4 linked regions of the Elephas maximus indicus genome follow. The protein of the gene in region 4 purifies or fractionates together with the protein of the main gene of each other region. This does not show direct contact. Links are inferred from orthologs where the notes say so. Each region holds a gene or a part of one and is shown on either strand. Other genes may lie near its edges.

Region 1 (7,025 bases), on a different chromosome or scaffold from region 4:
GAATTAGCTAGACAGCAACGGGTTGGGGTTTTGGTTTAAAACCATGGGAGGAGTTTTCCCCAAGGCTGGGGTTAGTGTGGATATCCTCCTCTCTCCTCAATCACTGCTACAGTCTGGGTATCCTGTACAACACATCAGAAACAGAGCTCCCACCTAAAATCTCTCAATTTCCTCATTACATCCCAAAACCTATAGGCCTCAAAATCCCTTTCTGCCCCACCTCCAAGGAATAAGAGTAGCTGGAATTCACTGGAGTATATACCAGGTACTCCATGTAAGCACTTTACAGGTACTCTCTCATGTAATCATAACAACCCTACGTGGCATATGCTATGCACCTTTTACAGAGAAAATTGTGGCAGAGTGGCGTTAGCAGTTATGTAACTTGCCTGACACCACAAAGCTAAACATTCAAGCAGCCTACACAACAGCCCACAATCTTAACCACTATACTAGAGTGCCTCTTTAAAAAAGAGAGTGTGTCCAACTAGTTATCTAATCCCCAAAGGAAGTGCTGACCACTGCACTATTACCAACCTCAACCACACTGTCAGGAATCTGGCTTTCAGTCACTAAATGCTTAGTTCACTAAGAAAGTCCTTCCTAGAAACTAAGTCAGCAATCATTCCTTCCTTCCCTTTGCTGAAGGCTTGATGCAGGAGGGACCTAAGTGTTTAACTCTATTCTCTCTTTACCATCACACTAAGATCTGCCAGTCCTATACAAGACTGTTGGACCTGACACTTTTTACCCACTCCTTTGACAAACAGTAAGCACCAACTATGTACCAGATACCCGCTAGGTATTAAGGATACAACAGTAGGCAACACTGTCCTTGAGTCAGGACAACCTCCTAACTAGGTATGCAGTAATGACCCCTAGTTCATGGGGCCCTGCTTCTCTTGACTCTGTCCTACCCAGAGCAGCCACAACTGCCTTTCAGAAATGACAATCTTTGATTTGTAAACATTCACTTAAAACACAATAAAAATTATTAAAAAAAAGAAATGACAATCTCTCATCCCACCACACGCCTGCTAAAACAACTGTAGAAGAATGTGTGTACAGTCAGGGTGGAATGACTTGGGGCTCAGCTATTAACCTGCCTTTTTTCTTCAGTCACTTCTCTCAAGGACTCAGTTTTCTCTTTTATTAAATGATGAGAAATAAATCAAGGATCAAAAAAGTAAATTTTATGATTCTCAGGCAAATGTTAAAGACCATCCCATGCAAATACTACTTAACTACTTAAAGCCGACTTCATCTCTCAGTCACAGTCCGGTTCAGTCCAACCTGTCTATATAAATTATATATTCATGGTCATGATCATGGTCTGGCCAATTCTAGAGAATACTAAAGGCTTGCTTTTGGGAAAATATCCCTTGACCCCCATTCTTTATGGTACCACTTTTGATTCCCAAGGCTCTTCTTGGGGGAATGATTTGCTTAGGAGGCAGCACAGTATAGTATAGAGAACTTGGAAGCTGCAAACTAGCAGTCCCCCATTCTCCCTCAGATGTTCTGCTTGGCTGGCATAATAATTTGAGATTTTTGAGCCTGAATGTTTTTAAGCAGAGCCCTACTCTCTACTGCACTGAAGTCTGAGTCTCCAAACTTCCTTAATGTTTCACATTCAGCCTGCTTATCTCATTTATGTTACCTGCCAGGTCCCTTAACAGTTTGAGTTTAGGTACAGATACCCTTATTTGCCCCACAAATGTCTTATTCCCCTTTAACTGAAAGTTTTTTAAGTAAATGACAAGTCATGTCTCGTTTCTTCTGGCTGAACTCCCTACACCACTGAATAGGTCTCTTCCACTCACCTTTCCTCCCACCTGTACAATTCTAAGCATCACACACAAGCAAAGCATTCAAAGATCAAATCAGCATCCTATCACCATCCCTGCACCCCCCTCCTTTTTTTGCTTTAGTTTGGCTGGAAAAAAAAGCCAAACTGCATTCTCTGTTCACCTCTTCTTCCCTCCCTAACTGAACCAGGCTAATCTTAGGTTTCGCCACACCCGGCTACCAAAGGTGTTCCCAGAGGAAGAAGAGCTCCAGAAGTCCTCCTAACATAGCTCAACAAATGCTAAACTCCTGGACGTCTTTGGTTCAAGTTTCCTTCTCCAGGGCTAGACTTCCTTCTTGAGCTCCCCATTCACTCCTCCTTCCTTCCCATAGCCTACGTGCTGTACACCTTAAGCGCTTACATGCTGAATTTCATAGTTTTTGTTTGTTTGTTTAAATATCTCAAAAACAAATTACTACTCTTACTTTTTCTGCCCCCCCGTAACTGGTTCCCTGCTGGAGTAGACTTGCCTGTAATCCTGGCCAAAATGCGCTAAAGCGACTGTTTCAGAGGCCAGGTTCAAGACATAGCAAGTGCTTAACAAAAACTTGCTCAACTGAACGGGCTTCCCATCTTAAGTACCACCCATTCTATCTTCTTTGGTTTCTCGCTCCGCCCGCGCCCGACAGCAGTCAAAGAGCCGGGTAGGCTTCCCCAGCCTAGGTTTCCGTATGACTGGGCCGGGGTCTCGTTTCCTCTTTCCACTCCTCCCTAACCTCCTGGTTCAGCAAGGAACAGGAGTTACACAGAAGCTCTCGGATCCCCTATGTCCTGAATTTCCAAACGAGTCCCACCGCCCCAGCACGCCCGCAATCTCACCCGGACCCCCCGGCGGCTCGCCGTGCGGCTGGGGCCCGAGGGCGCCGCCGTCCAGGATGGCGAAGGCCTCGTCGTTCTCGATGCCCGCAATCTCACTCTCTTGCTGCGCCAAGAAGGCCGCGGCCGGGTCTTCTTCGCCGGTGCCGGCCACACCATTCCCCAGCGCGGGGCCGCCTGGGGCGCCGGCGGGGGCGCCAAACGGATCCATCTCAGCCATGGCGGACAGTTCAACGGCACGGACACTGACGTTGGAAGACACACCAACCGACCCACCGACACCTCCCCAGGAAGCGGTCGCTTTGCTGGCGAGTACGCTCGGAGCACAAGCGGAAGGAGGGAGAAGGCGGAAGCGGAAACCCTGCCTCTATATCCGGCTGGTCTAGGGCGCGTGGAGAGCCGAAAAGAGAGAAACCAATGAGAAGGTAGAAATCGTTCAAGAACTACCCAATCAGCAGGAGGAGAGGCGGGCCTCGGAAGAAAACTCGTGACTCGGGCTTCTCCCAAGAGGGAGGTGAGCTCCGCGGTCCGAGGGGAGGCGGGAGAGGCGCTGGACTAAAGCCACGGTATCTGCCCCGCCCTCGGGAGCCGGAATGATCAGGGATCGCCACCTCTGAAGGGAATTCTTGTCCTGAACCAGGAGGTGAGGTAAAGTTGCGGCTGTGGTGATTGGCGGGTTACAGAAGAGGCAAGCCAGTTATACTGAGCCTCGGTTTCCTCATTTGTAAAAGGGCAAGAATCCATGCACTTGCCTCCCTCCTTCCCTATAGGGAAGACTCCGTTTGTGGATATGGACTGGCTATATGTATTATTTAAAAAACTTGTTAACCCATTCATCCAGTCTGGATTTTTTTCTCTTTTAGAGTCGATTGACATAAATGTAATAGATTCAAATCCGTTCCAACTTTTCTCCCTATAAACATTTTTATAAAAAGACGAATGTATCGCCTTTTAAAAGCACTTTTGCGGACAGTACGTCTTTTCAGAGCTATAAGGAAGTTTTTAGAACTAGAAATTCCACTAGGGATCACCTCGTTCATAGGAAACTGAGATCCCGGTGTGTGAGGGATTCAGTCACGGGAAATCAGTGGCCAAGAGGAGACCCAGGTCTCCTGGGGACCACAGCACTTCTGTGATGGTACCAGCCACACCCCTTATATGTGCACACCTTTCCCAACTAAGAACAGCAGAAACTTCCCTTAAAAAAAAAAAAAAGTTTCTTCAGTATTTCTTTTAAATCAGAAACTTGTTAAACATGGCTAGTTAATGTTGTCTGCATCATAGAAATTATAATAGAGTGATTCCAGTTAATCATGTTCATGATAATGAGGGATATTATGCAATGTATAATGGAAGGCCCTATTTCCATCATCACCACCACTGTAAGAACAGAACCAGAAACAAACTAAAAACACAACCAAAGGTCACAGATATCTCCAGAAGTAGTCAGCAAGGGACAAGAAGGTGGCTTAAAAAAAAAAAAATGTATATTTGATGACAAAGGATAATTATTTTGCTTAAAGTGTGTATTTTCTTTTTAAATCACTCTAAGTATGTAACATAGGAGATTTTGAAGAAGAACATTTAAGAAACTTAAAATGTTAGGGCCTGCAACAGACTCAATCTTCTTCTTCTTCTCGCATAAATTAACAACAATGTATGTAGTATCTACTTTCATAAAAAAAAAAAAAATTTTTTTTTTTTTTGAAACTACCCTGTGAGGAGGATGGGGCCAGGGACTACCGTGAGTAGGTCCAAGGGAGACAGCCTTTGGTTGCTCACTGTAATGGTAGCTGAGGGACTGAGACACATTCTTTCTACACCAAGTGCATGACTGGGGAAGCTATCCTGAGATTCCATTACTAGAGGAGGTATCAGATCTCCTCATGTCAAATCAACAAATATTTATTTACTCAAAATTGGGGAAATCAGCTGGTACGTTCAGGAATGACGTCACAGAAGAGGTAGCTTGCAGCTTAGTTTTGAAATATAGGTAAGATTAGAAAGAAGAGTTAATAGTGAGGGTCTAAAATTACTGTGGAATCCCTGGGGGGTGCAAACAGTTAAGTGCTTGACTAGTAGTCAGAAGGTTGGAGGTTTAAAACCACCCAGGTGTGCCTCAGAAGGCAGGGCTCGCATTCTGCTTCTGAAAGGCCACAGCTTTAAAAACCCTATGGAGCAGTTTTATTCTACACAGGTGGGGTTGCCATGAGTTGGAATTGACTAAGTGGCAGCTAACAACAAGATTACTGTAGGGGGCAGTGGTGGTTCAGTGGTAGGATCCTTGCTTTTCCTGATGGAGACCTGTGTTTGATTCCTAGCCATGTACCTCATGGGCAGCCACCACCTATCTGTCAGTGGAGGCTTTGGTGTTGCTGTATGCTGAACAGGTTTCAGTGGAGCTTCCAGACTAAGTTGTTCTAGCAAGAAAGGCTTGGTGATCTACTTCCGAAAGCAGTGAAAACCCTCTGGATCACAATGATCTGATCTACAACCCATCATGGGGATGGCACAGGCCTGGGCAGCATTTTGTTCTGTTATGTATGGGGTCTCCAGGAGTTAGGGGCCAACTCAACAACAGCCAACAACAAACGAGATTACTATTGTGCAAACGTTCAGTGGTGAGAAAAGGGCATGTTTAGATCACAGTGAATAAACTGGTGTAGCTGGGCCTGAAGGACTCAAGAAGAGGAATGATTTAAGGTAAACCTGAAGCCACCTACTGGGGCTCTGAATGCAGTCCAGGCTTAGGAGCCTTATTCACAGTAGGGAACTGCAGAAGATTTCAGAGATGAATGACATGGTGAATGTGCTGCTTAGAAGGTTAATCTGATCCCTTTGTGCAGGATCAATGAGCAGAGAAGTCCTGCAGTGACATGATGAAGGTCTGGATGGGGCAGTGGTATGTAACTGAATGGGGAGCATTAATGGGAGAATGAGTCCCTACAGAGAAGCAGCCGACTTGGTGTATGACTGGAGGAAGGGGCAGGGTGAGAAGCAGGGGGAAAAGATCACTGAGGCCATGAGTATGTGATATTGCTAGGGCCACTGGTTTGAGGGCTCTCAGAAGCTCAAGTGAATGATAGGAGACAGAAGAAGATATAAAGGGAGATGACCAGGAAGTAGCAAGAGGTGTGCTCAGGAGAGCAGTGAGACTACAAATGGAGACTGGAGAGGACTGAAGACTGAATCTTAGAGGACGGCTGTTTGTGAAGGACAGAGGGGTAGATTAGAGAAATTGAAGGGAAGTCAGTATAGACCTGGGTCATAGAAGTCAAGGAAAAAGAGTTTGCAGGAGAAAGAAGCAATTGGCAGAAAGGTGAAGAAGAGCAAGGGCTGAGCAGATGCTGTTGGCCATCAAGATGACTGGTGACCTTGGTGAGAAAGACATCAGAGGGTTCTGGAAGCAGAAATCATGTTGCACTGGATTGAGGAGTGAAAAGTGTAGTGGACAGCTGTTGATTTTGCCCTTCTACCATCCAGTTTTCCTTTTTTTCTGAAATCAGCACCCTGATTTTCCTTTGGGGAACCACTTATCCATTGGATGGAGTTGACCTGGACCATGTGGCCCAGGCCTGGCAAATTAGAACATTCCATCTCCTGGCCAAATGACTTGTTCAGGAATGGATAAGTGAGTCAAGCCAAGTCCATGAGACTCAATTCCAGGACTGTTCTAAAGTCTTTGGGAAAGCAGGGCTCTTTTGTTATGACTGATGAGCTGGTAAAATGTAAACTTGGATCTTCTGGTGATCGTCTCTCCATCAAGAGAAGAGAGCCAGACTGAGTGAAGCCAACGTAGAGGAAAGCAGAGATGAAGACAGACGGCTTCCTGCTTGCATCATTGAGCACCTGGATTCAGACATTCTTGAAGTGAGATACCTACTTTTGGACTTTCAAGTTCTGTGAACAAATAAACTTTTTTTTCTCCTTTAAGACAGTTGTGTTTTGATAACTTGTAAATAAAAGAATTCTGTCTGATATAGAATAAGAGATGAGGGTAAATGTAAATATAGAAGACTTTATTAGAAATGTTGGCAGCAAGGAAAGAAGGAAGAGCTATATTTAGGGCTATAACACCACGGGGACGTTTGTTAAGGTAGGAGACAGTTGAGTACATTTGTAGGTGAGGATAGGGAGAAGTTGAAGTTATATAATAAGGAAGAGGTGGTGGAAACAATAGACTGGGGAGAGAGAATTTTAGAGGCAAGAGTGAGGACAGACACCCCTGAGGGACTCAATTGCTTTAGGAAAGTGAGAACCAGTGGAAGAAAGGGAAGAGGTTTAGAATTGTCCAAGGGGAAGCTCAGTAGATAACGACCTTTATAAATTAATTGTGTGCCCCAGAAAGATAGATTGAAGT
Region 2 (7,051 bases), on a different chromosome or scaffold from region 4:
GTGGACAAACAGCCACCGTGGCCAGGCCAGCCCATCAGCCAGGGAGCCATGGAGCACTGCAACAGGTCCAACTGGGGTAGCAAGAACAAGTGGAGCCTAATCTCATTAGAGCTGCCGAGGTGAGAATATGTCCCCTCAGTCAGGGAAGAAAAGTGGTGGACATGGTGGAACAGATGGAGAGTAAGGCTGTAGATCCCTGTTAAGACCTGAGGGACCCAGGACAAGGAGCTGTTCTGGGTCTGCTCTGACAAGCCAGAAAGGGCAGCATGGCCTTCCCATCCTTCCTTCCAGCAAAGACCTTAGAGTGAGTGCCTCAGGCTTGCCACAAGCTCTCTTCCAGAAATGGCCCAGAGGAACTGAAATCAGGTGAGTCAGCAGCCTGATTTATCTTGAGAAAGGGAGGTGGAAGAGGATTCTGCAGCCTGGAGAGGCTTCCAAGAGAGCCCAGGGAAGGCTCCCAACATGAGAAGGGCTTCTAAGAACAAAACTTAGAACAGATTAGTACCTCCAGCCTGGCCACTGACCCCACCCATTGGAGACCGATCCCTCTCCTCAAAGGAAGAACCAACCTGCTTGGCAAAAGCAACTGCCTCCAGCAATCAGGTCTGTCACTAAGGGAAACAGGGAGGCAGGCAGGGCAGAAGCCCTGAAGCCTGTGGAGGCCACACCACCCTACAAATCTCACCCAGCGGCCTGCAAGCTAGCTGCCAGGCCCACCACCATCACCAGACCCAAGGGGAACCAGGCTGTACTAGCTGAGCTTCCAGGATGCAGTGAGGGTAGGCGGTGGCCCAAGTCAACCCTCCGGAGGGAAGAGACCTGGTCCCACATGCTGGGGAGGGGGGCTCAGGTGGCAGGGGCACAGCTGGCTCAGCCAGGGGACTCACTCACCCGATGTCATCTCTGTAGACCCGGGAGATGAGCACCTCCCCCTTGTGATTATAGATGAACAGCCCCCCAATCATGGTGGCAGCTCAGTCTCCGCAGCCCATTGCTTAGAACAGACCTAGGACAGGGGGAGGCAGGGTACAGGAAGGCCTCAGAACCCCTGCCCACAGCCCTGCAAAGGGTTTTTTTCCCCCAACTCAACCCCATCAGCAAGTGACCCTGCAGCCCTTCCAGGCATGCCCCTCCCCTCAGCCAGCCTCCTCCAGTTCCTGTTTATCCCACACTGGAACGGCCCAGGATTCTAAGGCAATTTGGACCCTCCCTCTTCTGGGGCTGGGCCCAGAGTAGCCCCCTCCCCTCCTGCCAGCACTGAGCCCAGCTAGGATCCTTTCCGGCCCCCTCTTGTGCAGAATCACTCAGGCTCCAGCCTGTGAGTCACTGCAAGGCCGGCTGCCTGCAGCTGCTGGAATGGCAGCAGGAATTAGTCCAGATGGCTCAGGCCTGGGGCTCAGGCTCCACTACCCCTCTGAGACACTGGCAGGGCCTGAACCGTGGATCTCTAATTCACAGAAGCCTTAACGTTCCAAGAAAGGGTGTGCAGGGTGGGGGAAAGAGGAGGAAGGAAGGGAGGCCTTTGGCCCTGGTTTGGGGCCAGGAGTGTGGCTCCAGCCTCTCCCAGGCAGTCAGATAAGCAGGCAAATAGGAGGCCAGAAAGGCCCCCGACCTGGCAGACTTTGCTTCAATGACACAAGCTGCTCGTTACAGTTATTTCTAACTACTTTCAATAAGGTAGGCTCCCTCTCAGTTCTAGACTGCAATAAAAATAAGGGCGGGGCGGGGGGGCGCGGGGTAGGGTGATAAAATGAAGAGATCCTTCCAGCTGAAATTCAGTGATTCCAGACCCACCAACTAGCTCACGTCTGGCCTGAGTGCCCATAACCAAGGCGCAGGCCTATCAGAAATGCCTGAATTATCCAAGTTATTTGGGTCAAATGAATTTGGACTGAGAGATGAAAAGGGTTAATTTGGCTCTAGGTTGCCTGGATTAGCCCTGGTATTAATTTCACAGCGGAGACTTTAGCAGGCTTTTCTAAACTGCATAATGAAGCCTTTTACTGCGGCTGTGGAGGTCTCCTGGACCAGTGAGGGCTTTCTCAGGGTGGCGGCCACATCCCATCCCTCAGTCCCAAAGAGGCTGGGAGAGAAACACAAAATGGAAGTAGAGTTCACGGGTATGAAGTGGTAAGTAGCTCCGGGCGACAAAGAAACAGAGGTGGAGCCTGGGACAGGAACGGGAGATTTAGTCAGGGGCAAAGGCTGGCAGCAACAGCCCAGGCAGGCTACTCCAGCAGCCCACAGCAGCAAACAGGGCTGGTGGGGGCACAGGGAAGAAAGACTTTGGAGACTGGAAAAGGTCAAGGCCTTGGGGGTGGGAAGGGTGGCCGGCAGGGAGAGACTGACAGTGGTGAATGGCAATGCGGGGAGCTGGAGCTTGCTTTGGGGCTTAGGTGCAGAGATATGGAGGGGGTGGTGGTGTTTTCGCCCTAGGGAGGGGGCCACGGCGGAAAAGATGGTGCCACGGGGTGCGGGGGCTGTCACAGGTCTGAGGACGAGGAGCTGGGGATGTCGCTGAACAGGTAGAAGGGAGTGCGGCGGGGTGGGAGACTTGTCACAGTCCAAGGAGGCAGCACAGGGGGTGTCACTGTCCTAGGAGCCGGGAAATTGTCCTTGCGCTGAGAGAAGGTACCGAGGGGCAGGGGGTGATCACGATCCTGGGATGGGGCGCGCCGCGCGGTGTCCTGCTCTACCCGGCTTCTGCTCGGTCTCTGTCCCGGCAGGCGCCAGGCGGGTCAGGTGGAGGCCACCGCTCCCGCCCGTCCTGCAGCCGCGCCCCGGGCCTGCAGGCTGAGGCCACTCCCGGGTGTGGGCAGCTTTCCGCGGAGTGCGGGCCGGGGAAGAGCAAAGCCGGGCGACGGCGCAGACGGCCCGCGGCGCCCTCCTCCCGCCGGTAAGGTCAGATCCCGAGCTCACCTGGTGTCGGCGGCACCCGGTCCTTCCACTCCCCGGATCCCAAGATGTCCGCCCGCCCCCTGCTCGCCTGCCCGCTGCCTCGGCTTTCACCGCAGTGCCGCGGCCCCGCCCTGGCCTCAGCTGCGCTTGCGCGTCAGCTCCGCCCCGCGGAGACTACAAATCCCGTCAGGCCTCTCGGCTTCTCCCTTACCATTGTAAGCGGTTCAGACTTGTCAAAACTACAATTACCGACAGCCTTCGGGAAACCGCCCCCATCTTCCACGCCACTCTTTGAATACACATCCCGGCATACGCCGCTCCCCCTCACCTGATTTTCTCCACTGAGCATTCTGGGAAGTGTAGTTTCTGCAATCCCTCCTGTGCCTATTTAAGCGTTTTGGAGAGGCTCAGAGATTAGTGACGTTTTTGTTGAAGACCATCTGTTAAGGTTTGGGTTGCTGTAGGTCTTTTATGTTTCCAAGGTCTGAGGACTGGCTGTCCTTATTTTACACATAAACACACAACTTGGTACAAGTGTTTGTGTTGAGTTTGACTGCTTTCTAACATCACCTCTGATTCTCACGAACTTTTTTCGTTATGTATTTATTCGAGCCATGAGCCTTTTCCCAGGGATCAAGACTCAAGCAGGGGTGTAGGAAGGGAGGTGACAATTATGTGCAAGAAATTAGCTACGGCTTTTCGTGAGCGTTCGTGTGTTCTACCTCAGCTACGTGACCGTGCGCTCCTCAAGGCCGAGAGCTGTGTGTCTCCGAGCGACGGGCTGCATATCTTGCTTAGAAAATGTCTGGCGAGTTGATTTTAATTAGACATGGGATTGGAACCCCTTGTCTAATGAATAGTTAAGCTTCACATCTAGGCTGAGAGGAGACAGAGCCAACCCCCAACATGAAAGGCCTGCTTGGCTCTTGCAGGACCTTGAAGGAAACCTATTGGCTTTTCCTCATCTTAGGCAGAGACACCCTGCTGCCTTCCCTGGGCAGGACTGCACCAGTCCTGGGAGGAAGGGCAAGAAAGAGCAAACCCGGTTGCAAATCCCACTGTCCTTAGCTTCCTCCTGCCAGAAGACAGAATGTGATAGAAGGAAGGTCTGGCCTCCTCAAACCGTGGTCCTAACCTGAAGCCATTAAGTGACTGAGTACAGGTGAACTAGTACTCGAGGCTTCACTCCTACCTCTCCAAAAGCTTTATCTTCCACACATATCCTACCCACTGCCATCGATTCCAACTGAAAGCAACTCTACAGGACAAAATAGAACTGTCCCCATAGGGTTTCTAAGGCTGTAAATCTTTACGGAAGCAGACTGCCACATCTTCCTCCGAGTGGCTAATGGGTTCAAACCACCTTTCGGTTAGCAGCCAAGTGCTTTAACCGGTGCACAACCAGGGCTCCTCACACGTATCCAAAACTTCTATCATTTTTTACTAAATAATAATAATAGTAATAGCAGTAATTATAATAGCCACCATTTATTGAGCACCTACTCTACTGTGTGCCAGGTACTGTGCCAGGCACTTTTCGTACAATATCTAATTTAAATCCTCACAACAACCCTGTGAGGTAGGTATTATTATTGTCATTTTACATACAAGGGAACTGAGGCTCAGGGAGGTTAAACAGCCCTCCTAAGATCACACAACCAAAAAGTAGTAGAGCTGGAATTCAAACCCAGAACAACCTGATTCCAAATTCCGTGGTCCAACAAACTAAATAAGTAAAGGCAGACGGGAGCGGAAGGGCCAAATTCAGGAACGATTGTTGGAATGGAATGGATATGATATGCTGACTGGTAAGACATGGGAGGAAGGAATTAAAACCCAGAAACGTTTCTAGTTTGTGAACCTGTGTAGATTGTGATGAAAGTAACCAGGATTGGAATTCAGGAGGAACACACTTGGCGGGAAAGATGACATGTTGAGTCCACATGGATATGTCTGTGGAGATGTCCATTGGGTAATAAAAATATGGACCTAAAGATGAGGGGAGAAGTTGGGGATGGGGATATATACCTGGGAATCACCAGCATATCAGTGGCAGCTGAAGACATAATGATGGATGAGGCCATTTGGGGAGTCTTATAGAAAGGAAAAAGAAGTGGACCAAAGATAGAACAGCAGGGGGCACTGACACTGAAGGCATGAGCAACAGCAGAGGAATTCTCAAGAGTTGGACAGGCAGTCAGAGAGGGCAGAGAAGTGCAGGAGACAGCCCCGCAGTGGCATCAACAGGAAGCCATGGACTGAGTTGAGAGTGAACCCAGAGCTCCCAGAGGGTGAGCAAGACTGAGTCACACTTCCAGCACAGCACTCTGCTTACCAAAGCCCCAGGAAGTATTTGCTGAGTGAATGAATGCCAAAATGCCTGGCATTTGGTTCATCCCAAAGCCTGGAACCAAGGACTTCATCTTACTCTTGATACCTCAGCCCTGAAAATATGGGTGCCTTAGTGAGCCTAGGTGAGCCAGGAGAATTTATAGCAGTCATGACTTGGTTAAAGTGAAGAATAAGGTAAAAAAAAAAAAAAAAAAAAAAACCTGGCACTCTGTCTGGAAGTCCCAGAAGTCCCCCTGCCCAACCTCAACTGGCCTGTGAGCTCCTGTGTCCTGGCTCTGGGGTGTCACCGCAAATGTGAAAACAGGGAGGGGTATGTGTGAGAATGGTCTGTGCCTCTGCTGAGCCCAGCCTGAGAACCAGCTTATGGGTTTTATCCAGGTAGGAAGATGATGAGGACAACTGTGGAAGGCTTGAGGAGTACAAGGAAGGGGAGCAGGAAGTCAGGGGACCAGCCCCACAACCTGAGAGAGGACTGGGAGAGAGGGATCCAGCCCTCTGGGCAGGGACCAGCCCTGAGGCTGAGTGAACTTGCATAGGCACATGTGTGTGTGTGTGCGTGTGCGTTGTGTGTGTGTGCGTGTGTGTGTGAGAGAGAGAGAGAACACTATCTCTGGAGAGGCAAGCATAGTCTCTCACGAGTGACTGTGTGTGAGAGGCTGGGGCCCTCCACAGGAAGCCTAATAACTCAATAGTGAAGTATAGGTGTGGGGGCTGGATATCCTTGGGGAGCCCTGAGGGGCTCTTCAAGCAGGGCTCCTGGTCTCCTCGGAGGCTGGGCCTCCCTTTGCAGGGGGCTCACAGAAAGTCAAACAGCCCGAAATTCTTGGCTGCTCCAGACCCAGGAAAAATTGGGGGAGGAAAAAGAAAGAAAAGAAATGTTTCAGGCCCAGAGGTGAGACAGGCCTGCCAGTTAGTAGGGTTAGGGGTCTGAAGGAACCAGCACGCAGGCCAGACACAGCAGGGACAGGGCGGGTGGGTGCCACGCAGGCAGCTCAGGGGCCCTCTGGGCCTCTGGTCAGGGCTGGGCATAGGCAGGGATGGCATGGATGGTTACTGGAAGTGGCTCCGGCTCCAGGGTGCAGGACTGAGGCACAGGCAATGGACAGTTAAGGCGGGCAGGCTCAGTGAATGTCCGGGGGGAGGGGAAGCGATGCTGCTGGACAAAGTCGAGGTTGCACAGTGCTGGAGGGGTTAGGTCAACAGAGGGATGACAGGGCTGAATGAATGGGGAAATGGAACTGAGGGGGACGGGAGAGGACGAGGGGCTGAGAGGCCTCCAAGGGCTGCTAGGGTTAGTTCCTAAGTGTGTATGTGTGAGGGCCAGATTAAGGGTGGCACCGGCAAGTCTGGGGGACTTGGAGACAGCAGCCCAGGGCACGAAGGATCGCGGAAATCCTGCTCAGCGGTCAGTGGGCCAAGAGCTCAAGCTGGGGCCAGAGGCAGGTTAGTGGGTACCAAGCCGATCGGTGGGTGCACCCCACCCTCAGTGCGTCCCTTGAACAGTTAGCGCGCCGTCATTTCCTTCCATTTATTTCCCTTTCAGGTACCAGACAAAGTAAAAAACGACGGACGGTGGGTGAGAGGGGCACAGGCGGCCGGGATGGGGGTGGAAGTGGAGAGGGGCCCTGCTCACATCACATCCACAAAGAACTCACTGGGGTTTCCCATGGCCATGCGGAACGACTGTCTGCTGGCGGTCAGTTCGGGGGGCACAGAGGCCAGATCGCGGCCTGTGGGGGCCCCTGGGGGCCCCATGGCCGCAGGCGGCGGGGCCATCATCAGCACTGGGGGCCCGTAGAGC
Region 3 (7,563 bases), on a different chromosome or scaffold from region 4:
TTAATATGCAGATAACACAACCTTGCTTGCTGAAGGTGAAGAGAACTTGAAGCACTTACTGAAGAAAATCACAGACTACAGCCTTCAGTATGAATTACACTTCAACATAAAACAAAAATCCTCACAAGTGGACCAATAAGCAATATCATGATTAACAGAGAAAATACTGAAGCTGTCAAGGATTTCATTTTACTTGGATTCACAATCAACACCCATGCAAGCTGCAGTCAAACCAAAAGACTCACTGTATTGGGTAAATCTGCTACAAAGGACCTCTTTAACGTGTTGACAAGCAAAGATATCACCTTGAAGACTAAGGTGTGCCTAACTCAAGCCATGGTATTTTCAATCGCCTCATATGCATGTGAAAGCTGGACAGCGAATAAGGAAGACCAAGGATGAGTTGACACCTTTGAATTGTGGTATTGGTGAAGAATATTGAATATACCATGGACTGCCAAAAGAATGAACAAATCTGTCTTGGAAGAAGTACAACCAGAATGCACCTTAGAAGCAAGGATGATAAGACGACGTCTCACATACTTTGGACATGTTATCAGGAGGGATCAGTCCCTGGAGAAGGATATCATGCTTCATAAAGTAGAAGGTCAGTGAAAAAGAGGAAGACCCTCAACGAGATAGATTGTCACAGTGGCTGCAACAATGGGCTCAAGCGTAACGGTGAGTGTGAGGTGGAGCAGGACTGGGCCATATTTCCTTCTGTTGTATATAGGATTGCTATGAGTTGGAACCAACTCAACGGCACCTAACAGCAACACTCACAATTATAAAACTCCTTAATAAGTGGTACAATATAGAAATGAAGTGGTGCACTGGAAAATAAGGTAAAGAAAAAAGAATTCTGTGAAAGAGTCAGAACAGAGAAAATAATAGTTGAATGGAGTTTTTAAGACTGAGGGGAATGAATTCCTTAGATTAGGCGGGAGGGGGAAAAAAGTCTATGTAGGAGGAATAGTCAGGAAAGGGCATGGGATATTTGAATTCCTATGGCTTTTTTTTTTTTTTTTTTATGGCTTTAGGTTCAGTACTGTGAAGGGTTCTATCATTCCATATGAATGAGTTTAAATTTATCTGAAAGGTACCATGATTTGGTAAAGGAGTGACATAACTGGATTTGGGGAGGGCGGTACAGAGAATGAATTTGAGTGAGCAGAGACAAAGGCAAAAAACTGGTGAAGGCCCGTACTAAGGGAAGATGGAGAATAAGGCCTCAACTTGGAAATAATTTATGATGTAGTAGAATGAACTAGAATTCATGACTACGAAATTAGAAGTAAAGAAGAGGAAGGAGTGTTGGGTAACTTAAAAACCACAACTTCTGGACACTGGTGACTGGTAATGCCATAATCATAATAGGCTCTGTCTGCAAGGGAATTGCTTGAAGGAGTTGGCAAGGGAAAGATAATGATTTTCTGTCATGTACCTGTGGGTTATTTAGTCTGCTTTATTTTAGGAGTTGGTGACACAGATGCAGTTGGACCTGTTAAAGTGGATGATTATCAGTTAAGCAAAGAGTAAAGACAATTTAAACACCCATGTCACGGTTTCCTATAAAAATGAAGGAACAAAACCACAAAATTTCACATATAGTGTCAGGGGTTCATGGAGCCCTTCAAAGTTTATGATACTGGATTGATGAGTCTCAGCTTAGAAATCTCTGGGGCAGAATCTGGGGAAGAGCCCTACAAATATTTAATGGGCAAGAGCAAAGATGAGACAATTACAAATATAAATAGAAAATAAATTATGATATGAATTTTGGCAACAAATAAGACACAGTGCAAAAAGCATATGCATAAATACAGGTATATATGGAATTTCCTAGAATTGTCAACTCTCTTGCCATTTGTTCATCCATCAGTCTCATTCACTCAATAGTAATAATAATAATGGTAGACACTGTTTAATGATTGCCTATCATGTGAAAAGGTCCCCGGATGGTGCAAATGGTTTGCTTTCTATAATTAACCTAAAGGTTGGTAGGTTGAACCCACCCAGTGGGACCGTGGAAGCCTGGCTAGCTGCTTCTGTAAAGATTACAGCCAAGAAAACCCAATGGAGCAGTTCTACTCTGTAACACATGGGGTCCCCATAAGTTAAAATTGACTCCACAGCAACAGGGTTTTTTTTTTTTTTTTGGTTGACCATGTCAAAGTCAGTGTGTTTGTGAAGTTCACTATCCTGCCTTCAAGTAGCTTTCAGTCCAGGTGGGGGTGACTTATATGCCAACTGAAGCTGCAATACTGAAATAAATGTTGAGAGAGACATGTGCAATGGGTGTTAAAAGAGCAATAGGAAGGAACAGAGACTTGTACCTAGGTTTTGGTATAAAGGGATTTAGGGAAAGCTTTTTAGAGGGGACAAATAAATTCTGCTCTGAAGGATTAATTCCATTTAGCCTAGCACTGCTACAATGTGATAAATAGCATTGCTGTCTGTTTTTGGACAGACAAGCACTTTACAATGGCTGGAGTGTAAAGTACAAGAAATGGAGGAAGGCAGTGTGGGCAGAAATGAGATTACACAGTTAAGTAAAGATATGACAGTGGCGCAAAATGCAAACGATTCCAAAGACAGGCAGGAAACATTGTATGAAGGCTGCTGTAGAACAGCTTCACCAGGCGTGCGATGAACCAGGGGGCTGCATGACCAACGAAAAGGCATTCAAATTCAATTAAAATAAAAAGAAAGAAAGAAATCCCTACTGTGTTGGCCAAATAAAATAGTTTGTGACTGGTGAACTAAATCAAGAAGGATCTTATGTAACTTTAAGGGGTATGGACTTTATACTATGGGTTGTGAAGCACCATTGTAGGACAAAGTAGGACTACCCCATAGAAATTCCAAGGAGCAGCTGGTAAATTTGAACTGCTTGCTTTTTGGTCAGCAGCTGAGCTCTTAACCATTGTGCCACCAGGTCTCCAAAGCACCATCATAGGAGCTTAAATAGAGAAGCACATAATAAGATTTGTATTTTATAAAAGATAAATCTGGTGGCATTGTGGAGACTGAATTAGAAGGGAATGAGGCTATAGTCTGGGAAGCTGGTTAGGTGGCTAAGGCAGTACACAAGACCTGAGACGATCCTGGCCTGAAACAAGATAATGATGGTGGCTATAAAGAGGAATTGGATGTTGTGTTGAAGATATAGAGGAGCCCTGATGGTGAAGTGGTTAACAGCTCGGGTGCTCTTAACTCTTAACCAAAAGGTCGACAGTTCAAATCCACTTAGCCACTCCTTGGAAACCCTGTGGGGCAGTTATGAGTCAGAATTGGCTGACCACAGCAGTTTTTTTTTTTTTTTGAGATATAGGTAGAGCTAGAAGCAAAGGGACTCCATAATGGTTTAGAAGTGGAGGACAAGAGAGAGCAAGTCACAGAAGTTGTTACTCATGAAAAACTGTAATGTGTCTGCTTCTATTGGTTTCCCAAGGTTTTTTAATCTTAAGTCCAAAATGAGGTCAAAGAAGTGAAAGAAGCACAGCATGCTACCTTCTTCCTCCTCACCTACTCCTCATTATTTTTTCAATTCATTTATAAGTCTTGAGTTTTTATATCAAGATTTACTTTCTGGCAATCTGGAATTAAATTTCTAAGATTGCTGCAAATTATTTCCTTTCTTGGTTTCACTTCCTCTTTCCTACTTCCCTATTTAATTCTTAAAATTTTATTGTTTTAATTGTAGTTTCTCCATTGAGAAAACTGTAGAACATCCGAATATCTGAAACTTCTCTCCTCTTCTGAATCTTCTAGATTTTCTTCAATTTCAAAGTTGCTAATTGGAAATGATGGGGGGAAAATCTGTACTTTTTTTTTTCATTTGAGACATTCAGCATTATAGTCAATTACCATTTTATTCTCGTAAAAGCAGCTTCCACTCGTCGTACAGACGGTTTACGTTTTCATTACAGAATTCAAATTTGCATAGCTACTTCATATTTAATTTTAAAATATAATCCACAGATATGTCCCTTATAAAAACAGTAAAAGATGATAGGGGCTCTAATAAATAACAGCAGGAGGGGAATGTTAGGGGAAGTCAAAAATTTCCATCTCAGGCTCCCTTCCCCCAAAGCAGAATAGCAAGTTTGTTGCTACTGAAGGCTACTGCCTTCGTAGGGCAACCCAGCTCAGCGAAGCCGCACGCATCCACAGCCCTGGGGTCCTCCCTTCTTTTCCGCACAACTTTTTCCCGCTTTGCGCTAATTCTTGCTGTTGCCAGACTATATAGTCACGCCATCGAGCCTGGAAAGAACTTGCTTTCCTGGGGCTGGAAACTAGAACCATTGCGAAGGAAGCCGTTTCCCAGGGGAGGAACAGGGACTTTCAGCTCGGCCAGGGGCAGTCCGACCCCGCGGCGCCCCCACCGTGACCCTCGAAGCTCCGCGTCGCCGCCAGGAGAGGCGGACCGAGGGGCGGGGCGACCCCCAGCGCCGAGCGCCCCTCCCGGAGCGCGGCCCCGTTTGCCCGCCCCGGCCCGCCGCGCCCCCGCCCCCTCGGGCGCTCCGTAGCCGTGACGTGCGCGGCGGCGGGGCCGGGAACTCCGCGGGGCGCCGGCCGGCGGGCGGAGACGGACCCGGGACCTGTCCGAGCAGGAAGCGAGCAGGATCCCGGCCCTGGCCGCCGCCACCTGGTCCCTGTGCTAGTACGCGTCTTCGTCCTCCTCCCTCGTCCTCATCACTCGCACCCGCGTCCTCTAGCCTCACCGGCGACAGGTAACCCCGTCGCCGCGCGCTTGCCTCTGCGCCCGCACAGGTGAGTGTCCCCGAGTCCCCGCTGCGGGCTGCACCGCTTGGGCCTCGTTTTTCCTGTTCTGGCCCTGCTTCGGGGCCTTCTCCAGCCGTCCCGGGGCGGACGGCTTGTTTCCCAAGGACGCGCGGGTGGGCGACACAGGTGATGGTGGGACCCGGCGGCGAGCGTGCCCAAGCGGCGACGGCTCGCGTTAGTGTCGTAGGTGGTTCTCTTTTCCACAGATAGACAATGAGACTCTCCTTTTATAGGTTTATCATCACCGAGGTACTTTTGTGTTTCTTCCCTGTTCCCAGGTAGAGATAGAACACTCAGGTGTCCGGTTCTGACTTGGACGCTCCATAATAGTTTTATTTTCTCTTTTGTAAACAAGCTTAAAATTCACTGCAGAAGCGTGCATTTTGTTCTGGGATGCGAGGATCAACTGTTATCATTACTAGTTTAATCATTTGGAGAATCGTTTGGGACTCTCGAAAGCAGTATTTTCAATCGCACATTGTCCAGTACCTTAAGTATGTTAATTCATGTGTGTATTTATTAATTTCCAAAACTCCTTAAAATGATTAAAATGTTCTAAGTCTGGAATTTTAATTTTAAGTAGAGAATAACTTGTTAGTGTTATTACTAGAACATCCGTGTCAGAAATACGTTTATACAGTTTCGGGAAACACCCTACGTTTTATCTGGCATAAAATATGTGGTGGAGGAATGCTTAAAATCGAATCTGCAGATCTTAGTTGGGAGCTAGGACCACAGCACGAACTTAATAGATTATTACACATTCTGAGTACAAGTTTGGTCTCTGTTGTGCTCTGGTGGTGTAGCTGCAGTATCGCTAAATATAGTCAGTGCTTGAGAGTTTTAAAAATTAACATTCTTAAGGTTTAGCAGAAACCATCCTTACACCATAAAATGTGGATCTTGAACTTGGGTTGGTAGTTGTCAGGGTACAAAGGTTGGCAGCAAAATAGCATTTCTGTACAAATTAACTGAACTAATAGACGTCTGGGGTTATGATTTTCCAACCGGAAATTGTTTAGTGGAATTACCTTGTTGTTTTTTAATCATTAGTTTTAAAAGTACCACAAATGATACGAAGTGAGCTGTAATCAGAGCTTGAAACAATACAGCCCTTCAAAGTAGCTCATTGACTTTTAAATATCCAGCTTATTTTGAGTATGTTCGGTTGCACAGGAATCACATGCAGAGTGGTAAACAGAAGTCATTTTAGTATTATGCAAATTCGTTGTTACATTTGTATGATCTGTTTGACATGCTATTTGTTTTCCCCACTTTTTTAGTTATATTTTTATTTTCAAACACTGATTTTAAAAGGCAGTGGCAGAAGTGACAAAAGACTTAAAAAAATAGGTCATGATTAAAAACTATGAACATGATATGTAATGTAAAAGTGTGTAGAATGTACATGTACTGTATATTCTTCGTTAGTCCTGGAAACATGAGTAAGAAAAATGTACTGAGCTATTGGCAATATTTAAAGTAAATTAATGCAAGGTATTAAAAAGAGTTCATATACGATCTTTCCACAGTAGTTACATCATAACCCAAGAGGCTTATCTGAAATGGATTTTTTCCCTGTTTATGTTTGTGTGATCAAGTTTTAAAATAACAGTGGGCAGGAAATCTGAGAGAGGCTGGAGGCTCTTTTCTCATCCTGTTGTGACTTTGTCTGGAGTCTGTGGTGTATCATGTAGCCCATTGTTTAGACAACTGGGCTGTATCTGGGCTCTAAAATACAGCTTTCTTTAGAAAGTTTTAAAGGTTTTGGCCATGGGATATTTGAATAAATATTAGTACCCCAAACATTAAAAAAAAAAAAGTTTAAGTGACTGTTGATAATTGAGGCTCCATCTTTGTTGTGTAAAATGTCAGTTTTAAAAAGGTATTTCTAAACTCTGTAAAATTTTAATTTCTATATATTAAAAAAACCTTATTTTAAAAGATTGCAAAAAGAATTACGACTTTGATAAATCTCAGTCTAATTCGGATGCCCATCATGAGACACTTCATAATAATTTGTGAACCAGTCCATTAGTATTGTAAGAATGTTACCCTATTAGGCATCTGCTGCAATTAAAACACTAACAGGAGCACTTGACCTTCAAAATAATTTTCAAGGTTAGTGGTCTTGCGCTTCTTTCAGGTAGTAGGAAACTTGGGGCCAGAGAGTTAAATACTTGCTCAAGGTTGTATATACCTTGAGGGGCAAAGTCTGGATTCCTACCTGAGTCTTCTGACCCGGAAACTTTTGTTCCCTCTACCAGGCCAGTTTGCCCTGATTTCAGCTCACTTGGTAGATGGTTAGATACACCTGCACAACTGGTATTGTATTGAAGAATGTAACTAGAGGTTTGAAGAAGGCACCCAGAGCAGATGTGATAGGTCATGAGTGTAGTTCTGGAACTAATATAGAATTCCAGGTCTGTTTTTTCATTCTCAAATTGACATCCTTGAACAGTGATATCATGTTGCCTTATTTTTGATATAGTCCCAGAATGTGATACATATTGTGGCGCTTTTATTTTAATGGTCTTTATGGGAACTAGAATTAGACTGTAACCTAATACTGGTTTTCATCTTAGCTAAAATGAGTAGTATGATGTTCATGGTTAGGATAAAACTTTTAAAAAATTTTCCTCAAATGAGATAGATTTTTGTCCCTAAATGCAGTAGCTGTCTTTTAAATATTATATAATTAATTAGGTAATCCCAGGGAAAAAGCTTGTTTTTAGATTATGATTAAAGTGTCACCTGTGCTTTTAGGACAGATCC
Region 4 (7,956 bases):
CCATCATTTTCTCGTGAGTTTATTTGGTGCCAGCTTCTTCTTTATGGTTTTCCTATTTCCAGTCTGTAACTTGGGTTAATACTCATTAGGTCAAATGGAGAATAATTTGAGTGGCACTCATTCTTGCAGATAGAAAAATTGGAAAGTTCTGTTTAAACGGGTATTTTCCTTTTTTAGTGTGCACCACTTATAGACTAGCTTTGTATGCCCGTCTGCTATTCTATTTAGTTCTTTTTAAAGAAATAGAATTTCTAAGCCTTCCTCAGTAACGAGAAGTGTTATCTCCACATCTGATCTGGTGGCTCAGTTAGATAGTAATTAAAATAGAGATGGGAAAGGCTGTCTTTATAACGTTAGTTTTTATTTCCACCACGTGGAAAGCTTTGTATCTGAGTGGCTGGTGGAACTAATCTAAGGACTTTTTCATGCCTGTTGGTGCAAATCAATAAATATGAGGCAGGCTCATATGAATGCTATATATTTTTCATCTCTGCAGTGGTGTGGAACGAATACTAGTTGTATGGCTGTTTACAACATTAAACTCAGTTATTTGCAATCTATACAGCCAGGAAAAGAATATAACCAGATTTTTTTGTTTTACATAATCTTTTATCAGTCAAGACAAGTTGAGGTAAAGCATTAAAAAAAAATTTTTTTTCTAGTGTGTCCTAGGTTTGGAATGGATTCAGATTGGGTTCCTACTTTTGTAGGAGTACCGTAAAAAAATTCTTTAGTGATGAACCCAAGGCCTTCAATATTCAGAATTGCTTTCTCCATATTAATTTTTTTTCCAAAAGTCTTTTAAGAGATTTTAATGTTGAATAATTTTACATTGTCAGTATTCAAAAATGTTGGTGTAAATTAGATAATTCCTTGAAACTTTATTATTGAGTTAACCAAAATTTATTTACCAAATCACAGTCCTTTCTGTTCTAAAGAAGAGCGAATTTACTACCATAACGCTGCAGGTGTGCACTGGTAGTGGCAAAACTATCCCTAGGAGTGTGGAAAAATTTCAGTATTGCTGAGGGAACATGTGTGGGTAATGTGTTGCTTTGAACTGGAAATAGTAATAACTCTAGGAGATGAAAAGAGGCAATTCTGCATATTTAGAAAGGAGAAAAACAGTCCATAACAATCATTCCTATACCTTTACCCTCAATCACCATAAATTGGCCCCTTCATTCTATAGATCCTCTCAAGTTTGTAATTTTTGTTTTTGGATATGAAAAGGCATCTGACTCCCTGTTGATCATCAGGGTTATAACTCTTCTGAGTTTTTCTGTCCACAATGCTCTGTGCATCTCTACATTTGAAGAGGACCATCTTTTCTGAGATAACTTTTTAAGGTAATGCTATCAGCCACGCATCCCTCTGCTTGGGATCTGATTTCACCTATAAAAACAAAGGAGAGGCCTATACAGTGTGATAGATTGATTGCAGGTTAGATCCCCACAGGGTTAGTCTTAACTATTCACTAGGAACATGCTCAATCCTAATACAGATCTTATTGCCATCCATAACATTTTATAGAACTTAAAGGTGGAGCCCTGGTCCCTGGTGGTGCAGTGGTTTAGTGTCTGACTGCTAACCAAAAGGGTGGCAGTGCAAATCCACCAGCCATTCCTTGGGAACCCTGTGGGGCAGTTCTGCTGTGTCCTATAGGGTCGCTGAGTCTGAATCAACTGCACTAGAGCGGGTTTGGTTTTTTTGTCTTACAAATTAGGTTTAAGATAAGCCTGAACAGTGAATGATGTCAAGAATATAAGCTCAGGTCTACTTCATGCTAAAGTCCATTAAATTTTTGCTTTTTAAATGTTTCATTCATTTGAGGGAGTCTTGCCTATAATCAGTGCCTTGTACAGGGTCGCTATGAGTTGGAATCGACTCAATGGCACTGGGTTTTGTACAGGGCCAAAATACTGTGGGCACTGTAGATTAATACCTGAGCCCTAAAGGATATTCATTTTCTTACTGGCCTTTGATATGCTGCTGTTTATCATTTTTGAAAAGATAAAAGACCAGAGGGTATAATCCTACTGGGATTTGTATCAGTGGCTCTAGGGGACTGAAATGTTTAAATGGCAAAGCTACTTATCTTACTTGGACAATGCTAAAGTATATACCTCTTGGTTTCATTAAAATCTTAATTATCAACTATTTGGTGCAGTGAGTTGAAGTTTTACTTTAAAATTAATCTGTAATGTCTGAGAAATGCCTTTGTTTTGACTCATGCAATGCAGCTAGCCCAAGCTGTTTTTAAAATGTCAAGTTAAAAGGCATTATTAACCTTAGTGCCAGGGCTGCTTGAAGATAATAGCTACAGAGGAATCCTACAATGAAGGTTTTTTTGAGATGTCATTCCCATTAGGAATTAGTTCCTGGTATAAAATAAGGAGCACTATAAAGGTTTGCTGTATAGGTTTTGAGAAACTAGCACTCCTCATTCATGAGTTGGAATCGACTAGATGGCACTGGGTTTGGTTTTTTTAGCACTCCTCAAAACAGACCAAGCAATGTAGTTTTTGCTAATGGCAGTTGCTGTGACTGACGGTAAGGGCCTACTGTTGATGAACATTCTGGTTAAAAAGTGCTTCAAATTTAAAGAGTCGACCATTTATTTAACATGGTACCTTGCTAGACCAGGGTTATGATTCATTCATAGCAGCAGTCTTATTAAAAGACTATGTGATAGTTGGGGAAAAAAAATCTGGGTCGCAGGGTTTGTTTCCTGGCTTATTTAGGTATTGCTGTAGTAACTGTTAACAGTGCCTCAGCCTTTCGGGTTTCTACAGTAGGGATTCTCAACCTTTCTCCTGTCTCTACACCATTAAAGAACAGCATAAAAAGCATGTCTTATTACCTCACCCAAATTTTGATCTTTAAAAGGCATAGTTTTATTTTTTTTTAAATGTTTACCATCTGGACCTTTTTACTCTTGAAAAAAATTGGATTTGTTTATAGTGCTCAAAATGCACTAGTATACTGCAGTCTATTTTTTCTTCTCAAATTATTTCTGAAAATAATGCGTTCATTAGATTTCTGTGTATGATGACACCGCAGTCACTTTAAGAGAAACTCAGTACACTTTTTTTGTTAGATACTCCATACTAAGTATCCAAGATAAATCAACTGCTTTTGGGATTTCAAATATACTTTAAAATTACAGGGTCTGTACGAAAATGCAAGACACTAATAGAAGAAAAAAATTGGTAGCTGATTCATGATATATAGCTCTTGTATCCAAGAACCTGAGACTGAAATGATTAAGCTAGTGCCTTTGACTATAATAAAACAGTAGCTCCCTTAGATTTCTGAGGATTGATCTACTTCCAAAAAGGATTTAAAGCAGCTATTAGACTCGTAGTAGAAAGATGCTTTCAAATGTTGCAGAATACACATCTTCAAGTATTTGGTTTAACAATACAAAACGAAATTTTGCTCAGCATAGATGTTCTCTCTTGTAACATGGTGGCAAGGCTTTTCTTTACAAAACAGTCTCTAATCACTTTCTTACCTACCACACATTCTTCTCTCATCCTTAGTGAGACAAAAACAGCTAAAATGAGTAAGGAGACTTTTCACACTAAGCAAAACTGCTTAATATAGAAAACAAAATTATAGTTTTATGTTTAAGTGAAAAAGGCACTAAAAAAATTGTGTATTTGAGTTTTTCTCGAAAAAATAACATCTTACAAGAAATGAAAGCCACAGAAGCCTTTATCCTTTATTGATTCAATTATTAAATACTATTAACACCTTATACGTTAGCAATAAGGTGCTGAGGTTATTATTAATGGACAATGAATGCTGTAGATACCTTAATGCTGTTAGAAGATACGATGCCCCGTCTTTGAAGCATTTATATTCCCAAACATTGCTAAACCTAGAGGCACTGTTGAGGTGGTCCCACTGAAATACATGGCTAATAGTTCATCCCTTTCCTCCACGCGTGGACGTTAACCTCACGTAGGAAAAATCTTTCAAGCACCCGTAACTGAATAATCCAAATCTTTGAGACTCAGAATGATTTGACGTAGCTAAAAAGAAAAGCTTCTTGCTACAATTTTGGTCAGACCTTCTAGCTTATTTATGATATTCAAACTCTTTACACTGGACTATTTGATTACTAAACTAGGCGGATAGATGTCCTCCAAAATGTCCGCAGAAACCTTAAGAGAAGCTATCACAAGGCCAGCTGGAGATACCTCATAAATGGCCTTCACTGTCCTTTGAGCCAAATATTTAACACCCGAGGAGAACGCTGGTTCTAGTTAGAATCCGCGCGTCATGTTCTCCAACCGTCAGAAGCGCGTGTGTAGTGATTGCGAGGATTTAAAACCCCATTTCGCTGCCCCAGTCCTGGAGATGTAAGAAACCACCCACTATAAAAAACCAGGCGGGGGAGGAGTGCGGCAGCTAGCTGCCAAGAGAGCGCTCTGCGGGGAAGCAGTTTCCCTGAGTCACGGACAGGGTGGGAGATCGGGCTCATCAGCCCACGCCTCGTCTTCGTAAGGCACCCAGTTTAAATAGGCAAGGGTCACAGGGGAAGGAGCAGCACCCGCCGCTCCTTAAGGTGGCCCAACCGCCACCTCATTCCCAGGAGACTCCGCATTTCCCGAGAACCCGCTCTTCATTCCGGCAGCGATCAGCCGACCCTTCCCTACCAGCGTCACGTGCGCCCGGAAGTATGTGGGTGGGACTTGAACCGCCCACGGAAATGACGTAGTTGCCCCTTGTCGCATGATGTGGCAAAATGCAAAAAAAAGGGGGGGTAGGGAATAGAAGGAGGCTGGGGGAAAGTGATGAGTCCAAAAAGTAGTCCCTTCGGTGCTTATATTAACACCCGTGTAGCATCAGTACGCGAGGCTCTCGGCGCACTGCGCCCCTAATTCCTCCGCCCGGCAGTATCGCGGCACTCTGTGGAGGGGTACATAAAGCGGAGGGGGTGAGGCGACTTGGGCGGAGTTCTGTCGCCGGGATCCCTCCGCAGGGCTCAGCCGTTTCCGGAGTCTGCGCTGCGCCCGGTTCCGCCATTGCGGCTCTCCTGGCCCCTGGAGCCTCCGCCCCCGACCCGAGCTCTTTCGTCTGCCTGCCAGTTTCCTGCGTCCCCGGAGAGTATCCTACTGAGCCCAGCCTCCCCCTCCCCCTTCTCCTCCTCTCCCTTGGAGAGCCCGGGCAGCCGCTGCCCCGCAGTCCCAGTGACAGGAGGAGACCGTACCCCCCGACAGCGCCATGGCCCAGATTCTGCCAATTCGTTTTCAGGAGCATCTCCAGGTGCGGCTGGGCTCGGGCTGGTGAGGGCTGCGGAGAGGGTAGGAAGGAAGGAAGAAGCTGGAGTATAGGCCTAAGCAGAAAGAGCGGTATCGGGGGGTGGGAGTGGTGGGTGTCGGTGCCTGGGATAGATGGAGGGGGGCCTGTCTTGGAAAGCTTAACGGGTTAAAGAAATCTTGTGAGGCTTGGTTGGAAAGGACAAGAGTCAGGGTGCAAAGGGCGTCATTGCTAGGCCTGGATCTCAGGATCTCTCTACCTTGCTTCCTGGATGGGAAGAACTGCATGTACTAACTCCCCCCTCCTTGTTTTTTTCCGTTCATTCATTTGGGTAGGTGGATGGGGAGAGATTTTCTCCTGTTTCTCCTGGAGCATGGATTCTCATTACCCCTTGGGCCATTCGGGGGCTGTCATTTCTCATTGCCTTTCTCCCTCTCCACCTTCGTGTCTGCACTAAGGAGTTGTGGGGCGGGTGGGTTGGGGAGGAGCAACCTTTTTTCTTCCTCCCTCTGCGGCTCTCAACTGGGAAAGGCACCTTCCCCCGGGGTGGGGGGCGGGGGGGAGGCGGCCTTGTATCTTGCCTTCCCTAAGGCAGTAGAAACAAGGTCACAGAAGGAGTTTAGAATGGGGGAACGTATTTCTCAGGGCGGTGTCAATCTCAGGGTGCTTGGGGTCAAGGTCCCTGGGGGAATTAGCCTTTTTCCGTTTCTTGATTTCTCTAGGAGTGGTGTGTCTCTTAGCCCCTCTTTGGTTCTAGGAGGTAGGGAAGGAGCTCTTCAGAGGTTATTTTGGGGTCTGCTGGAGTCTAGCAGATTGTTGTGCGCTTGGCGTGAGTAGCTCCTTCAGGATTTTTTGGAATTAAAACAGCTATGGGGATAGAGCACACCTGCTTTGAGACGTTTGTCCAGGGTTGTTTGGTCTGTAATTGGCTTCCCTTTAGTAGGTTCTAGAATTTTTTCCCTACCGTGTCTTATCCTGGAGGCAACGTAACTGTTGTCTTATCTGGCAGCATGTCCTGGCTGGGCTAGGCAGGTGATCATTGGAGGGCTTGACTGAATTAAGCCTTTTGAGCTTCTGATTTTCCAAGTTCACCAATCCTGCTTCTATCTAGTTTTCATTTTGGCTGAAATAATTCATTCATATTAACTTGTTTTCTTGTCACATACCCTCTTAAAGAGGTCTGCCTAAACTCAGTCTTCTGAAGAGCAAGTTTCATACATAATGTTAGAGGACCCAGTGGTATACACATAACACTAATATTAGTAACCTATTGGATATTTTTCCATTCAAGGCAATTTTATTTACTTTCTTCCATTTCATTAACAAGAATCCCCGGAGGATTCTTGTTAATAAAAAGGTTTAATATTCAAGATGTGAGTAACATAATTTCATAGTTCTTTACAGCTGTTATCATTTTAACTTGCATCAAGAAATTCTTTTTCTTTAAGACTTGAATTGTAATGAATAATAAACCTTTACCTGTAAAACTAGTTAAATAGTGTACTTCCTTCAGTCATCGGTAGTTTGCAGAATAATTCATCTGAAGTAATGGAATATACCTCGGCAATAAAACCACTATATTACAAAGGATTTAAAAACGTTAAGTAACAGAATGGACATGGAGAAATTATTTTTTTATGTTCAATCCAGTTGCTGTGTTTACCTCTGTTAAAGGGGGCTGGTAATTGAATATGGAGGGTTAGAAAAATACTGGTTTTAGGTGTGCGGAAACCGCAGGCTCTTCCTCACAGTAAAGTGCATTTGAAATAAGCCTTTTTGTAGATGAATGTTTGTAAGTCATACACAAGAGAAGCAGGTACAGCTGCTGCTTAGTTTACATGGCTGAGGCATATCAGTTACCGCTGAGTTGAATTCAACTCATGGCAATCCATGATATAACCCACTAGTAAATCTTTTTGGTTGACCGATGGTGGTTTGAGTAATAGCTTATTTTTATTAAAGAGGAGACAAGAATTGTTAAATGATTGCACAAAACAGAATCCAGCCTTATCACCAACTGAAGACATTTAATACAGGCCTGATTTCTAAGTGGTCTGAAGTTTCTCCAGTTACTTGAGTGAAGCCATTTCCTTCTCAAATAATTTGAAAGTTTTGAGTATAAAGTAGCTTTGTGAATATACTTTAAAAAAAAAAGATATCCATTTTTTGGAGTGATAAACTTAGCTATTGTATGCTCGAGCTGATAATGATTAAATTGCAGAGAGAGTCAAATTATCAACCTCTTCCAGGATAATTATCTCCTGACTTCTCATCTTTATCCTCTCCTTTTTTTTTTTTAGTTAATAAGAATTATTTTAATTGGCAACTTAAGTCTTTGACCTCTGACCCTCTGCCAGCTTGCTAAATAGCAGAAAACTTTCTGAAACGCTTTGGATAAAAACTGGGAACAAGAAATGAGGAACTTAAGTTTGGAGCTTTAGCTCGTTATAGCTTCAAAACCTGAACTGTAAATGAATTTATTTTTGTAGGCCTTAACTACATTGACCAGTTGAAGGATCTGTCATTGAGGGTTGGATCTGCGTCAAATGAATATTAATATTTTAAGTTATGCGGTTTTTTTTTTTTTAAGGATGTTTAGGCTGATAAAAAGCCTGTTGCTGTTGAGTCAATTCCAGCTCATAGCGACCCTAGAGGACAGAGTAGAACTGCCCCATAGGGTTTCCA

Evidence for each region.
Region 1: the proteins of CLTC (region 4) and CLTA purify together in Homo sapiens (co-immunoprecipitation; 6 studies listed by BioGRID and IntAct, with this or other methods). This does not show direct contact. The link is inferred for Elephas maximus indicus from reciprocal best matches to the Homo sapiens genes CLTC and CLTA.
Region 2: the proteins of CLTC (region 4) and AP2M1 purify together in Homo sapiens (affinity purification with mass spectrometry; 3 studies listed by BioGRID and IntAct, with this or other methods). This does not show direct contact. The link is inferred for Elephas maximus indicus from reciprocal best matches to the Homo sapiens genes CLTC and AP2M1.
Region 3: the proteins of CLTC (region 4) and MYO6 purify together in Homo sapiens (affinity purification with western blotting; 4 studies listed by BioGRID and IntAct, with this or other methods). This does not show direct contact. The link is inferred for Elephas maximus indicus from reciprocal best matches to the Homo sapiens genes CLTC and MYO6.

What each region holds. Positions count from the first base shown.
Region 1 is NC_064827.1:45,041,380-45,048,404, reverse strand, and holds the start of CLTA (clathrin light chain A), read right to left. Parts: upstream 3,017-7,025; 5' UTR 2,886-3,016; coding exon 2,669-2,885; intron 1-2,668. UniProt on the Homo sapiens protein: Clathrin is the major protein of the polyhedral coat of coated pits and vesicles.
Region 2 is NC_064819.1:30,892,502-30,899,552, forward strand, and holds the start of AP2M1 (AP-2 complex subunit mu), read right to left. Parts: upstream 3,026-7,051; 5' UTR 2,920-3,025; intron 1,007-2,919; 5' UTR 966-1,006; coding exon 892-965; intron 1-891. Other genes in the region: DVL3 (segment polarity protein dishevelled homolog DVL-3), read right to left, coding at 6,880-7,051.
Region 3 is NC_064819.1:139,187,004-139,194,566, forward strand, and holds the start of MYO6 (unconventional myosin-VI), read left to right. Parts: upstream 1-4,538; 5' UTR 4,539-4,776; intron 4,777-7,563. UniProt on the Homo sapiens protein: Myosins are actin-based motor molecules with ATPase activity. Unconventional myosins serve in intracellular movements. Myosin 6 is a reverse-direction motor protein that moves towards the minus-end of actin filaments.
Region 4 is NC_064837.1:34,475,603-34,483,558, reverse strand, and holds the start of CLTC (clathrin heavy chain 1), read left to right. Parts: upstream 1-4,930; 5' UTR 4,931-5,235; coding exon 5,236-5,277; intron 5,278-7,956. UniProt on the Homo sapiens protein: Clathrin is the major protein of the polyhedral coat of coated pits and vesicles. Two different adapter protein complexes link the clathrin lattice either to the plasma membrane or to the trans-Golgi network.